Callithrix jacchus: one gene and its partners. The protein of the gene in region 2 interacts with the protein of the main gene of each other region in a biochemical or structural test. Links are inferred from orthologs where the notes say so. Each region holds a gene or a part of one and is shown on either strand. Other genes may lie near its edges.

The links.
Region 1: of the proteins of FYN (region 2) and ENO1, one has a biochemical effect on the other in vitro, tested with the Homo sapiens proteins (2 studies listed by BioGRID). The link is inferred for Callithrix jacchus from reciprocal best matches to the Homo sapiens genes FYN and ENO1.
Region 3: the proteins of FYN (region 2) and FYB1 form a complex in vitro, tested with the Homo sapiens proteins (2 studies listed by BioGRID and IntAct). The link is inferred for Callithrix jacchus from reciprocal best matches to the Homo sapiens genes FYN and FYB1.

The regions. Positions count from the first base shown.
Region 1 is NC_133508.1:46,742,111-46,746,908, reverse strand, and holds the start of ENO1 (alpha-enolase), read left to right. Parts: upstream 1-2,058; 5' UTR 2,059-2,186; exon of another isoform or gene 2,187-2,287; intron 2,288-2,645; exon of another isoform or gene 2,646-2,760; intron 2,761-4,798. UniProt on the Homo sapiens protein: Glycolytic enzyme the catalyzes the conversion of 2-phosphoglycerate to phosphoenolpyruvate. In addition to glycolysis, involved in various processes such as growth control, hypoxia tolerance and allergic responses.
Region 2 is NC_133505.1:117,951,405-117,956,102, reverse strand, and holds part of FYN (tyrosine-protein kinase Fyn), read left to right. Parts: intron 1-1,827; coding exon 1,828-1,992; intron 1,993-2,409; coding exon of another isoform or gene 2,410-2,565; intron 2,566-4,698. UniProt on the Homo sapiens protein: Non-receptor tyrosine-protein kinase that plays a role in many biological processes including regulation of cell growth and survival, cell adhesion, integrin-mediated signaling, cytoskeletal remodeling, cell motility, immune response and axon guidance.
Region 3 is NC_133503.1:166,286,252-166,291,049, reverse strand, and holds the start of FYB1 (FYN-binding protein 1), read right to left. Parts: upstream 2,679-4,798; 5' UTR 2,586-2,678; coding exon 2,583-2,585; intron 1-2,582. UniProt on the Homo sapiens protein: Acts as an adapter protein of the FYN and LCP2 signaling cascades in T-cells. May play a role in linking T-cell signaling to remodeling of the actin cytoskeleton. Modulates the expression of IL2. Involved in platelet activation.

The sequences.
Region 1 (4,798 bases), on a different chromosome or scaffold from region 2:
TGCAATCCCAGCACTTTGGGAGGCCAAGGTGAGTTAATCACCTGAGGTCAGGAATTCAAGCCTGACCAACATGGTGAATCCCGTCTCTACTAAAAATACAAAAATATTAGCCGAGCATGGTGGTGGATGCCCGTAATCCCAGCTACTTGGGAGGTTGAGGCAGGAGAACGCTCTTGCCTCAGCTTCCCAAAGTACTGGGATCACTGGTGTGAGCCACCAAGCCTGGACTCTCATGTTCCATTTCTTAAGTGGGATGTGGGTACAGAGACATTTATATACACTTTATGTAGTCTCAGGTGTACGTGAAATACTGAGTGATAACCAAATACTAAAACTGTATGATCTGTCATGAGGCAGGACCATCCACCTAGATCCCCCGAGGCCTTCTGCACTCATCTGGTATCTTACCTCCCCAGAGCTCCACATCCTACCCTGAGGTTCCCTATCTGGCCGGAGACCCTCTTTCATAAAGACCACCTTCTCCAGCTGACCGGTGGTTTTTACACACATATCACAGGTAGAATCTGTAATCTAAGCAAGTTATAGGCCGTAGCAGATTCACTTTCCCTTGCTCCTAGTCACCTGCAGACACCATGCATGTGCTACCTACTGTGCTTCAAGGTATGGTATTCCACTAGCTCTAGACAGTTATTCCCCACCTGCCCACCACCAATAAAACTGCTCACCAAACTTGCAGCAAGTGAGAAATAATAACTAAATGCTCTGATGCTGACTACAAGTAAATGTGAACCCCACGGCCTGCTAAGAAAGCCTCAGGAGCTATGGAAACAGGGAGGGCATTTGGCAGCCTATGAATTATGGAAAAGATTTCAGGACATCTCTAGTAATCATTAACATTTTAGCTACAATGTGATGTCAAAGTGCTGGCTCAGACTGTGGAGCTGCAGCCTCCAAGAATCTTACAACAGTCGCAGCCTGGGATCATGCTCTGCCTCTGATTTTCTGCTAGATTTACTGGTTCTGGCAGGAGCAGAGTATCTTTATCTCCCTAACCATTTTCATGTAAAATAAGATTGGAGCCCTTTCAGGGCCCCGCCTTAGAATTGCTCTGAAAGTAAAAGTACCAAGTGCCTGATTTCTTAGAGGTCTTACCAGTAGATGTTGGCTGTTGATTTAGCTGCTGAGTCATGGGGCTGGGGATATTGGTTTTAAGTAGCCAAAAACGTCAGTGAATTGCTGGTGAAATCACAAACTCTGCTTGCAAAATTCGTGTAATCCTTTAATAAAACATTTTACAATTATTTTTCTGAATTTAATCTTAAAGTTCTTGCTTCTTACCCATTGGAAAACGAATACTATGGACGCATTATGCCTTCATTTTTAACCAACCCCTTGGAAACCTCTCAGTAGCTACCAGGATAAAAATGCTGGGGGTTAAGGAAGAAAAACAGTTTTTGCAGCTGACCAGAAGAAATAATAAATTCAAGTATATATTTGAACATCTCTTTGCAAGGAAATGAGGAAAATCAGATGTTTAGTTCTCTTACAGACCAGCAGTGATACTGAAAAATACAAAAGTAATCCATAACCGAAAACGGAGTCACCATTTCAACCCTCCCTTAAGAATGGAGGGGGAGGTACTGTGGAGCTGAGTTGTAATGGCTATGTGTTCTTGATCAGAAAGGTGCAATCATCCACCAACTCTTTCCATATTCCATGGAATATGACCCGTCTTGAACTTTGAGAAACTCTCTGGGTCTATGTGAAACTCCAGTCCCAAAAAATGTACATGAATGGTTCACAAGAATCCAGGTAGGTTTGATCTAGTTCCCTAGATGGTAATGAGGGCGATGTGAAATTTCAGATGCAACATGAACATGGGCTGGAGAATGGATTAACGCTGGGTTAGCACGTGGGGGTGCGACGGGCACCTAGGAGGCACTCAAAAAGTATGAGGCAGAATTAAAGGGAAGTGAAGCTTCTTTTGGCTGTCTCGGCCGGATTCTCGCCGCAGCAAGGAGAAAAGGACTGGGTCACCTTGGCGGGTGGCAGGCGGAGCCCGGCCAGACGGGCGCGGCTGGGGGGCAGTGCGCAGGCGCAGACGGCGCACGTGGCCCCCAACACGCAGCGCTGCGGCATGGCCCGCGCCCCAACACGAATGGGGCCGTGGCGCTCAGCTACTCAACGTCTCGACGCCAGCGGGGTCTCCCGGATTGCGGCGCAGGGTAGGAGGGCCGGGACCGGCGCGGGCCGCCAAAGTCGTTAGGCAAGGTCGAGGGCCAGACCTGAGGCCCGGGAGCGACGCTGAGTGCGTGCGGGACTCAGAGTACGTGACAGAGCCCTGAGCCCTCATGCCCGCCGCGCCGTCCCTGGCCGTCCCCCAGGGCCCCGGCTCCGCACACCCCAATTCGGCTCAAGGGCCCCATCTGGGGCCAGAGTTTCGCCCGCACCACGGCAGGGCCTCTAGGGAGTCTGGATCCCCCAGATCCGCCGGCCTCACGTCCCCGGGTCGTCGCCCCCCTTTCCCTGCCGCTGCCACCATCGCAGCGGCACGCCCATTTCCGGGAGGTGAGGGCCTGAGTGACGGCTCTCACGACCAATGGCGAGACGGCGCTGAGGGGGCGTACCCGGGAGGCGGGAAGTAGGTGGGGTCTTTTTTAGCTGGGCAGGAAGTCGGCGCGGCTGGCACGAACAGAAGCTGTGAGGACCCGCAGCACGCAGACGTCCTCTGCTTAACGCTCATCTCGGTGTCTGCAGCACTCTCTGCTTCTCTCCTAGGCGACGAGACCCGGCGGTTAGGTAATGATTGGCGAAGGGCTGAACAACCGGCAGGCGACGCAGGGCTTTTCTGGGCTGCTAGCAGGGCTCTTTACCCTGACAGGGAGGTGGCGCGCCCGCAGGCCCAGGGTAGCGGAATCGGGGGCGCGTGCGAGCCATCTCCCCGGGTTGGAACTGGCGCCCCACTTCACCCGGAGGCCCGGGGCGGGGGAGCAATGCTAGGCGTACGTGCAGGGCCCCCAATTTCTTTGGAGGGGAAAGTGCAGATTAGCACGTGGTTACGGATTGCAGGGCTGGGTCACCGTCGGGGAAGGTCGGGAGCTGCACTCGCGTGTGCAACTGGGAGTGGAAGTTGCTTCTCCATTGTAGCCAAGTGTAAGGTTTTTGGGAGAAACGCAGACTGAGCGGCGGTGCCCACTCAGGCCAGGCCCTTCCTAAGATGGAGGAGGATGGCGAGAGGGGAGATGCCCACGAGGCTGCGCCCCCCTCCCCCACCTACAGCCCCTGCCTCGGGCCGCACTCGCGGCCCGCGCTTCTGTCCCGTAGGCTGGTGACTCATTTCCCTCCGAGAAGGCACCTCTTCATGAGGAACCTGCCGCAGAGCCGTTGGATCATTGGGAAGTCCTCCAGGCAACCTCGCCCAAGTTGGGCAAGAGCGGCTCCCCGGCTGGCTACCAACAGTCGGGCCATGATAGGACTTAAGAAGGATGTATTTTAAGAAAGCTTCCTGTTTGCTGTTTCCCTGCGATGTGCGTTTCTCTCTGGGCGGTGGGGTCCATTACTTTACTTGCCTTTCGGGCCCACCCGGGCCCTGACTGCTCAGTTCATTTACTGAATCCCTAATTTGGGATTCCATCCAGGCAACTGAAAAAGCTGTGAATGGGCTGGGCACGGTGGCTCACGCCTGTAATCCCAGCGCTTTGGGAGGCCGAGGTGGGCGGATCACGAGGTCAGGAGTTCTAGACCTGCCTGGCCAACGTGGTAAAACCCCGTCTCTGTTGAAAATAAAAAATTAACCAGGCGTGGTGGCAGCCGCCTGTAGTCCCAGCTATTCGGAAGGCTGGGGCAGGAGAATCAATTGAGCCCAGGAGGCACTGAGCCCAGATGGCACCACTGCACTCCAGCCTGGGCTAGAAGAGTGAAACTCTGTCTCAAAAAAAAAGCAGTGAATGCTGAAGTCAGACCAACCCTCCTCCCTGCCTGTGCTCCTGAGCTATGACAACTTTGCAGAATAGTTTGTCTATCCAACTTAAAGATCACTTACATTTTATTTTCACATCGCAAGACCTTTGTCTTAAGTCACTAAAATGAAACCAAAAACGCTGAGGTGCCCTCATAAAATTGCCTGTAAAAGTATGTCTGAGATACACAAAGTAAATCACAGTGGTGGTCTGGAAATGGGGCAGGGGAGTATTGACTAGAACCGACCTGAGAGAACTTTTGCAGTGATGGAAATGTTACTCGAGTATGTAATTTGCCAAAACGCAAAATTAACTTATTTCTAAAAATATGTTTAAATAAACGTGCCTTTTTGGAACCTAGTAGATAAAAACTAAATGCATTTTTCTTGGCTAATGAATTAAATTCCATTGTTACATAGACTACAAAGCCACATAAGTGACTTCAGTATCTAATTTTGAAAGTTAAAAATCTGCCATTTGCTGCCCCAGGACATTCCAGAGACGCTGTTGGAGGGGAGCCCAGTTAGATAATGGCTTTGAACACTAAGTTCCTCTCACCCACCTCGGTTCTGTAAGCTGTTCAGTTAGGTTTTTGGATCGCACCAAGGAAAAAAGTAAGAAAGGGTTTTTCTTTAAGGAATTGCTACTTGTTTTTCATTGCTGCAAATTCTTGGGTTTTTTTTTTTTTTTTTTTAAACTGTTTTCAAAGAAAGCCCCTTCCCTTGAAGTATCCTAGTGTTCAAAGAATCTTTCCTCTATTTCCAAATTATAAAGCCCCCTTGGGAAGAAATACTAATTAGATGTCATTATTGGCTGGTCCTGGTGGCTCACCCCTATAATCCTAGCATGCTTTGGGAGGCCAAGACAGGGGAGGATCA
Region 2 (4,698 bases):
CATGTGCCTATAAATATAGGTGCACATGTACAGATACATGTCTATATCCTATTAAGCCTAGAAGTTTTTTGTGTGACCCATGTCTCCATTTTCTATTGTTCTCCAGTACAATAGCAAGGCTCAAAAATAGTATATTTGCCTCTAGTATTGCTCTGTGCACAATCATTGAAATATGTATGTATAATTTTTAGCATGAAAAAGCAATCTTTTGAAAATGACATTGAAATATGTATGTATAATTTTTAGCAATAAAAAGCAATCTTTTGAAAACAACTATTGATCCCTGGCACTAATGAACAATAGAAAATATTAACAGCACTTGCAGTGCTAGTGCATTACGGCGTTGGTTCACTTGGTTTATGTGGAGTCTAATGAAACATTTGGGAGAAATGGAACAAAATATCTCCCTGAGCTTAAGTAATATACTCAAAATGCCTGCATGTAGTAAGGATTTTTCAAATGCTGAAATATATTTCATTACAGCCAAGCATCAGCAGGGTCCCCAGGGTTTGGATCATTTGAAAATATTGTGTTGGAAAGGGCACCTTAATAACATTGTAAAGCTGGAAGGAGAGAGGGGATATGAACAATAGACACTTTTTTAATCTCGGGGAGAAAAAATCCATCACACGTTAGACTTGTTTTTATATTGGTTTTCCCTCTTCCCTCTTTCTCTCTCACACAATAAAATGTCTTTGAAATATTGACACATAAATAATTTCCCACCTAAACATCCCAGAGCCTGATTCCATCAAAAAGAAAGGAGTAAAAAGCAAGTTACAGCCCAGCAGCACATCTGCCTTCCCTGGTCCTGGGGCTTCCCGCAGGGGCGGCGGGGGCTGTCCACCTCACAAGGCGCTGTCAGCTTTTGTCACTCCCTGATTTCTTATTCTTTGTTACCTTTTTTTGCCTGACTGATTATTACTTGGCATTTAAGTTCCCCTTAGCCTTGCCAGATTCTAAAAGATTATATTCTTTTTAAAAAAGAAGGGAAAGAAGGAAAGAAGACAAAGAGAGAAAAAAAAAATCTCCGAGTGATAACTACTTTTTCCCTTCTTCTTTTTATACAAAGAACACGTTCTTTCACATCCTTGAATTTCTGTGAATTTTGGTTTCCATTCTTTCTCCTTTCAAACCAGACACCTAAATTATACATCGAAGACTGTTAAAAGGATTTTTTTTTCCATAGAAAATATCAAAGAAGCAGCCCAGGAGTATCTGACTTGGTGGAATGGAATCAGTTAGAAAGCCAAAGAAATCACTAAAAAAGTGACTTCTTTTTTTCCCACCAGTTATAATCTTCAGCCTTACTAGTTTATAACAGTTTAATGTTCTATAGAAGAATCCTCTACTAAAGTGTTAATTTTAAATATAGTCATACAGAGAGATCCTCAATCCCCCAGGTAATCTAGATATTAAAGGTGGGGGAGAACAGTCATGTTGACATTCTTTAATCCAAATGCACTTTTTGAAATTAGCAAGGATATTTTCAGCATTCCCAAAAACGTGTTATTAGCACATTGAGCTGAAAACGTTTTTCTTACTCAGTGAGTACAGAAACCAAAGCAGTCTGTGTGTATATCTATGTATAGACTATCATACCTGGGCTTATGGAGGAGTCTAAATTTAAAACGTCCTCTATTCTACCTCCAATGAACATGTTTCCATGTGTGGTGTCTGATCTTCCACGATGTGTGTGGTCGTCTTCTGGTGTAGCACTGTTTGAGGAGCGCTGTGCGCCGCTAGTGTGGGTTTGCACTTATGAGTGTTGTCGTTACATGTGTTCTGCTCTTCTCTCCCTCTCCTTCCCCTGCCCTGCTCCATCAGAAAGAGCTGCAGGTCTCTGCTGCCGCCTAGTAGTTCCCTGTCACAAAGGGATGCCAAGGCTTACCGATCTGTCTGTCAAAACCAAAGATGTCTGGGAAATCCCTCGAGAATCCCTGCAGTTGATCAAGAGACTGGGAAATGGGCAGTTTGGGGAAGTATGGATGGGTATGCTAAGACTCAATTACTCTATTATTGACTTCCTCGTTTGGGAAATCCCAAACACCAAAGATAGAAGGTGAAAATAAAGACTGCATGACCTAGAAGAAAGACTGAATTAGTAATAGTAGGGAAGAATGATATCAATTTTGGTTTTAATATTCTGGAATTTCTGGAAAAAAAGATAGTAAATGGGCAAAATTGGCAAATGGCTCAAGTTGTACTGTTACATGAGCCTCAATTCATAAACCAGCAAATGGTACAGGGAATGTTCCAGCTCCCATAAAAGATCTTGCCCTTCATTTCCAAAAGCAAATATTTGTTGAGTGTCGCCCTAACGGGCAAGTCACCTTCCATCTTTCCTAGTGCATGCATAATTATGGATTATAAGGACAGTGTTTTCTTTATTAATTCCCTTTCCTGTAGAGAAAGCTGATGGTTTGTGTTTTAACTTAACTGTGATTGCATCGAGTTGTACCCCACAAACTTCTGGATTGGCTAAAGATGCTTGGGAAGTTGCACGTCGTTCGTTGTTTCTGGAGAAGAAGCTGGGTCAGGGGTGTTTCGCTGAAGTGTGGCTTGGTAAGGCAGAGGGCACATTTTGTTTTGGCTGCGTCTCAAAGCCGATTAAAAGGATGGTTTTGAACAAAAATGCACACACAGCCGTTGGGACAAAGACACTTAACCTGGATAACTAGACAGGCACAGGCCATCCAGATTTTCAGAATATGCTGATGCCTTGCTGTGCTCATCTGTCCTACTTCATGTGGTTAATTAAGGCACCCGCAGAACAGGAAACCAGAACACTGTGAATCTGGTGTTTCCTCTTCCTAAGAAATGGGAAGGTAAGATACTGTATATGGGCAGCCATAAGAAAGACCGTGGGCATTTTGCTCGATGGGCCTGGGTTTGAATCCTTACTAGCTAAGCAACCATGAACAATGGGCATATTTTACTCCTTTAAGCGTCAGTTTTTTTCATCTGTAAAATTAGAATGATACTTTTTGTTTTTTTGAGACAGAGTCTCGCTCTGTCACCAGGCTGGAGTGCAGTGGTGCGATTTTGGCTCACTGCAACTTCTGCCTCCCAGGTTCAAGCAATTCTCTTGCCTCAGCCTCCCAAGTAACTGGGACTATAGGCATGCACCACCACATCCAGCTAATTTTTGTATTTTTAGTAGAGACAGGGTTTCATCATGTTGGCCAGGATAATCTCAATCTCCTGACCTCATGATCCGCTCACCTTGGCCTCCCAAAGTGCTGAGATTACAAGTGTGAGCCGCCACACCTGGCCAGAATGATACTTATTTTATAGGATTATTTTTAGGATTACATGGGTTAATATGTTTAAAGTCCCTTGCAGATAGTAGATATTCAGTAGACATACATACTTCTCTTCATTTGATTGTCATTGATAAGGCTGGCCACACTATGCCTTTGTAATTTCTTTTATAGCCCTTTTGGGTCAGTTTCAGCTTTGCCACATGAGACAATTCATGGACTTAGGCCCCACTCAAAAACATGTTTCAGTAAAACAATATTAATACTTATGGAATCCTCCATCTTCCTTCCTCAGAGCTGATTAAAAGCAATATAGATCAGTGTCCTTTGCTTTGTGTGGGTATAGATCTTTAGGTGAGGTCTGCATTAAAACAGTTCAAAGTGATAAGTACTACAAAGATATATGTAGGTAGGTAGATGGATAAATAGGTAATAGACAGACACATACATATTTATGAGTTAGCTAGTTTAATAAGAAATCCACATTATTGTGTCCATCTCTCTCTGGTCTTTATCTCAAGTATTGTAAAATATATGACCTCCTCCTTCCTCATTCACCCTCTAATAATAGAGGATTTTAGTCGAATTACTCACACAATCACAGAGGATTTGACCCTATAAGAAAATTTATTTTCAAATTTTACAAATAATCCACTTTAAATCATTACATATACTGTTCACATTTTGTTTCCCAAGTAACACAAGACAACATGCCCGTCAGAATTGAGCTGGATATCTATGTAATTTACCAGGTCTGTATTACAGAGGAAGATCTCACTGTATTTGAAATTTTATGCTCTTTTTTTTTTTTTTTTTCTTTTGAGACAGAGTCTCGCTCTGTACCACTGCTCTGGAGTGCAGTGGTACAATAATCTTGGCTCACTGCAACCTCTGCCTCCTGGGTTCTAGCAGTTTTCTACCTCAGCCTCCTGAATAGCTGGGATTACAGGCACTCGCCACCACACCCAGCTAATTTTTGTATTTTTAGTAGAGACGAGGTTTCACCATCTTGGCCAGGCTGGTCTTGAACTCCTGACCTCGTGATCCACTCGCCTCAGCCTCCCAGGTGCTGACTCTTAAAGAGCAAAGATCACTTATAAATTGTCAAATTTCCCATGTATGCTTAGTGGGCAGATATTTTATGAAGTTTAAATGAACTTTTCTTTAAGCCACTTGGTTTTCCATAATTTATATTTTTGTAGGTTACATGTTGTAATTATATGAACCATGTCTTTAACAGGATAATAAGAACTCCTCCAATTTACAGAATTCTTTTTTTTTTTTTTTTTTTAGACAGAGTTTCACTCTTGTTACCCAGGCTGGAGTGCAGTGGCGCAATCTCAGCTCACTGCAACCTCCGCCTCCTGGGTTCAGGCAATTCTCCTGCTTCAGCCTCCCGAGTAGCTGGGGTTACAGGCATGCGCCACCACACCCA
Region 3 (4,798 bases), on a different chromosome or scaffold from region 2:
CACTTACTATGCCATTGTAAAGTGAGAAACAGTGAGCTGCTTAATAACAGGGTAACTTGTGTTAGAAGTTTTAAATACGTGTAGGTTTTCACCTAGCTTCTTTGCTAGTAGTTCTGTCAGTGCAAAATAATCAGACAAAATATATAAAAAATGCTTGTGACAGTCTTGTCTATAACCATAAGGAAGAAAAAGAGACAACAGAAGTTTCCAACTCTATGGAACTGATTAAAACAAATTCTGGACTACTACACAGTTATTAAAAATAATTTATCATTAAAAGTGACATTGTAACTCAGATATTATTAAAGATATTTTAAATAAAACATGGGGAAATGGTTCATAAAGTATAATAACACTTATAAAATTACATTTATAAAATGTGTATTTAAAATGATGACATTCTGGAAGAATCTGCATTAACCTAGTGATTCTCCTTCAGTTGATAGAATTGTAGAATATGCTTATTGTTTAATTTCTGCATATTTATATTTCTTTTTTTTTAAAAAAACAGTGTTGCCCAGGTTGGAGTGGTGTGACATGATTATTGATCACTGATGCCTTGAACTTCTGAACTCAAAGAATCCTCCTGCCTCAGCTTTCCTAGCAGGTGGGACCACAGGCATGCACCACCAGGCCTGGCTGATTTATTTACTTATTTAATTTTTTATAGGAATGACATCTTGCTTTGTTGCCCAGGCTGGTCTCTAACTCCTTAAGTAATCCTCCCACTTTGACCTCCCAAAGAACTAGGGTTACAGGCATGAGCCACCACACCTGCCCATTACCTCTATTTCTAAGAAATTTTTTTGAGAAATACATCTTTCTTTTTTTTTTTTCTTTCTTTCTTTCTTTTTCCTTCCTTCCTTCCTTCCTTCCTTCCTTCCTTCCTTCCTTCCTTCCTTCCTTCCTTCCTTCCTTCCTTTTATTTAGACATAGTTTCACTCATCATCCAGGCAGGAATACAGTGGCACAATCTCGGCTTACTGCAACCTCTGTCTCTTGGGTTCAAGTGATTCTCCTGCCTCAACGCCCCCAAGTAGCTGAAATTACAAGCACGAGCCGCCAACCCTAGCTAATTTTGTACTTTTAGTAGAGGCGGGGTTTCACCATGTTGGTCAGGCAGATTTCAAACTCCTGACCTCATGTGATCCACCCTCCTTGGCCTCCCACAGTGCTGGGAGTACACGTGTGAGCCACCACAACTGGCTGTGTTACTTTTATAAGAAAACCATAATCTTTAAAAAAATCATCACTCATATATTATACCAAATACATGCTCTCCAGTTAAACTTCCTTTTTTATTGCTATTATCTTGTGTCACCTAAGAAAATCCAAATAGCACTTTCTAAACCACAGTGCCCTTGTTTAAGGTCAAGCTGTTTTCTAAGAATTCTGTACCTAAAGACCCAGTTTGGAAATGTAGAGGGATTTCTAAGTCCCGCTCCCACCTGGGCCTGGGACTGCCTTCTGCAGGTGTTGCCGCAGACAGGGTCACGTCCCTAACATTTCCTCCACCACTGTGCACTTCCATTCTCAAGACTCTGTGACTCGCACCTCCTCACTCTTCCCTCTTCCTCTCTCCCCCATAACAAGATTATGCTCTCTCACCTCTGCTCTTTCCCTATCCTAACTCAAGGTGCTTTCAGACAATACACGGTCACTTCAACACACATCATCGAATGACCCTTTTGTTCTCCCTGTTCCAATGTCTGCAATGAACTCCAGCCTCCAATTGTGTGAGCATGAGTCATCGTCTCAATTCCTGTCTTCTCACTGGGGGCTGACAAAAGGAAGATATCCTCTTCATAATAAGAGAAGGGATAACAAATTTCCAGTCTTCTGGGGATCAGGGAATAGGAGACAAAGATAGAAAATTGATTCTCTTCTAGACCACATATATTTTGGGAACCCACCCACCCCCTTTTTTTTGCAGGGAAATAATGGAAAGTTGTGAAGCATATATTACTGCTGTAGTTCAGTTTTGTTATAGGTTAAAGTAGTACTGGGAACCCACTCACCATTTTAAGTATGCTCCAAAAAATGACTTCCCATTAACTTTGGGTATAGAATCTGTCCCTAAGTTTTAGACTATTTGGGCTTTGTTTGCTTCTCCTAATTGAAATTTTAAAAATGTATTTTCAAACAGAAGAGGTTCTTTTGTAAAATCTATCATGTTATCAAAATGGCAATCACCGTCAGCAGCGTTTCCCAACCTTTGCCACTGGAGTCCTTTCCTGGGAGTCAAAGAGCTCATAACAGGAAGCTTGGCTGTACTACTGGGGCAGGCATCCAGCTATCATAATAGGCAAAGATGAAGAATGCACATTTTCTTTCTGTAAGACAGTGCTCTTCCTCTATTCTGAAGGCTAGAATCAAAAAAGGAACTCCAGAAGCCACGTCTCTCAATTGGCATGAAAAAGACTCAGCAACTTCCTCAGCCCAAGGAACAATGAGTAGCCGAGCAAAATCCCAAAGGCGTGTAAGACCTAGCTGTGAAGCACCCTCAACCCTGTCTGTTCTATGCAGAGAGGAGTAGCACATTTGCCAGGAGACCAGGGAGAGTAATACAATCTATTACTTACCATTTTGATTGAAAAGAGTTGATGCGTCTGACACACAATGACCTCGAAGATGTTGTGGCTTGGATAGTGAATGTGCAAGTTAGCTATGCAGAGTGTACTTCCTTTTCTGAGCTGTGTGGTCTATCTAGCTTTCACACATTGATATGTGAGGCTATATTTGCATGTTATCCCAACCCTTAGAGCATTTGTATAGCTGGCCAGGTTTATCATGTTATTATTTTTCAATAATACAGAAACAGGTATAGGTGTAGCTCTCAAGTCTGAAAAATTGATATGAAATTTTTAGAAGTGCCTAGATATTAAATTTTGTTAGACATTATTGATCTGTTTTTTATAACTTATGTATTTTTGAATAAACATGTGTATATATGTGCATGCATGTCTGTCTCTCCATCTCTCTATCTATGAAGGACTCACACCAAAATTAATAGCGTTTGAATTGAGTGGATATATTATTACAAATAATTCCTTTTTCATACTTTTTGGAGTTTTTCAAGTTTTCTATCTTGGGTATATAGCACTTGTGTAAAAACATAACCATAATCATTATTAAAAAGAACAAAAGTATCACGATAATTTTAATGAAGAACTCCAATTGTATTTAAATTCATATTACCATTTAAATGATGGAAACACTCATAAGCTTTTCATAGAATGTCATTCATTTCCATAAAAAAAAAAGTACAGCTCAATCTAGGTTCATGTGCTAATTTGGGGGTTAACATTTGTTAGCATCAGACATTAAGGGCAAGGGATTTGATCTCAATTAGTCAGACTTTCCAATCATCCATGTACCTCTCTAAACACATTCTGATATATAGCCTCCTACTAAAGTAGTTCAGGGGTGGTAGGTCATCTTTGTTTTCTGTGGCAAAGGAAAGGCAGGATTCCTTTTTTGGTGGTTGCAAATTTCTAGATCTTGTTTTAAGTATTACAGTGCTTATTTAGTGTAAGGTCACCAAATTTCTATACTTGATGGTGATCAAACACTAATTACTCCTACATCCATACAAAATAGCTTTTCAAAAAAGATGTTATCTGTTATTTTTTCTTTAAAATAAAAATATTTTCAAAATTAAGATGTAATCAGAAATGCAGATTCATATGACAGGCAAAAAGCCAGGGCAGAGGTTGAATTCCAGAGGTAGAAACTGATACTGTCCTGAAAACTTTACATATTATAAAGAGGGGTTTGAGGCATGGTCAGAATCTGGGTGGATGGTCAGGATTCTGAAATTGCACAGTATCTTACACATAATAGAAGCTTAATGAATAAATAGAGGAGGAAGATCAAAGCAAGACTGATGTATAGGAGCCAGGCATCTTTTCTGGTATAACACATTTTCTAGAATGCTTCGAAATGAAGGCATTCTTTACCTTCACTAGAAAGCCTCTAATCTACTGTCTGTTGGAATAGAGATCATCACAGTGCAGATACAGCTTAGGGTAAAGAGGACCACTCTAAAGCAATGGTTCGCAACCTGGCTGCACATTAAAATCACCTGGGGTGTTTTCATAGTCTCAGCTCCCAGGCCTCATCCCAGGTTATTATATGAAAATCTCTGGGACTGAAACCCAGGCACTGGTGTATTTCAAAGCTCCCCAGGTGATTCCAATGTACGTGCAAGTTTGAGAGCCTTTGCCTCAAAGAAGGAGCAGGTGACTCATACTAGCAAGATAGTGAACAGATCCCCAGGCCAGCCTTATGGGTAGAAATAATCCTGACACCCTGACACTGTTTAGCACTAAGTTAATCAACATATTTTTCCTATGTGCTACATAAGAATTGCTTAATCTTTGTCATTCTATGATTTGCCCTCTATGCCAGTAAGTTGGACACAAATTACATGATAAACAGGAATCCAGCAATTATTTAGTTAACGGTGTAATTTGTTGGGTAAGTCTCTGGTTAGGAGAATTTTGAATTTCAATTCATTCATCTGAATTCCATTTCAATTTGGGCTTATTTCCAAATGCAGATTAAGGTAATTTTTAGCTGTTATTGAAATAAATATAGTGGTCTTTCAAACACACATATGTAAGAAAAGTATTATTTTCAACCCCACTCTCATGGGGTTGCTTATTGCTTTTGCCATAAGAAAAAAAAAGTTGAGTTGAAGCTCCCAACTACAACTTGTAGTCCACAACTATATTTTCATATTTAGTTTTTAAAGCATAATCATGTTACTTTAAAAACATATGTCAAACATCGCATA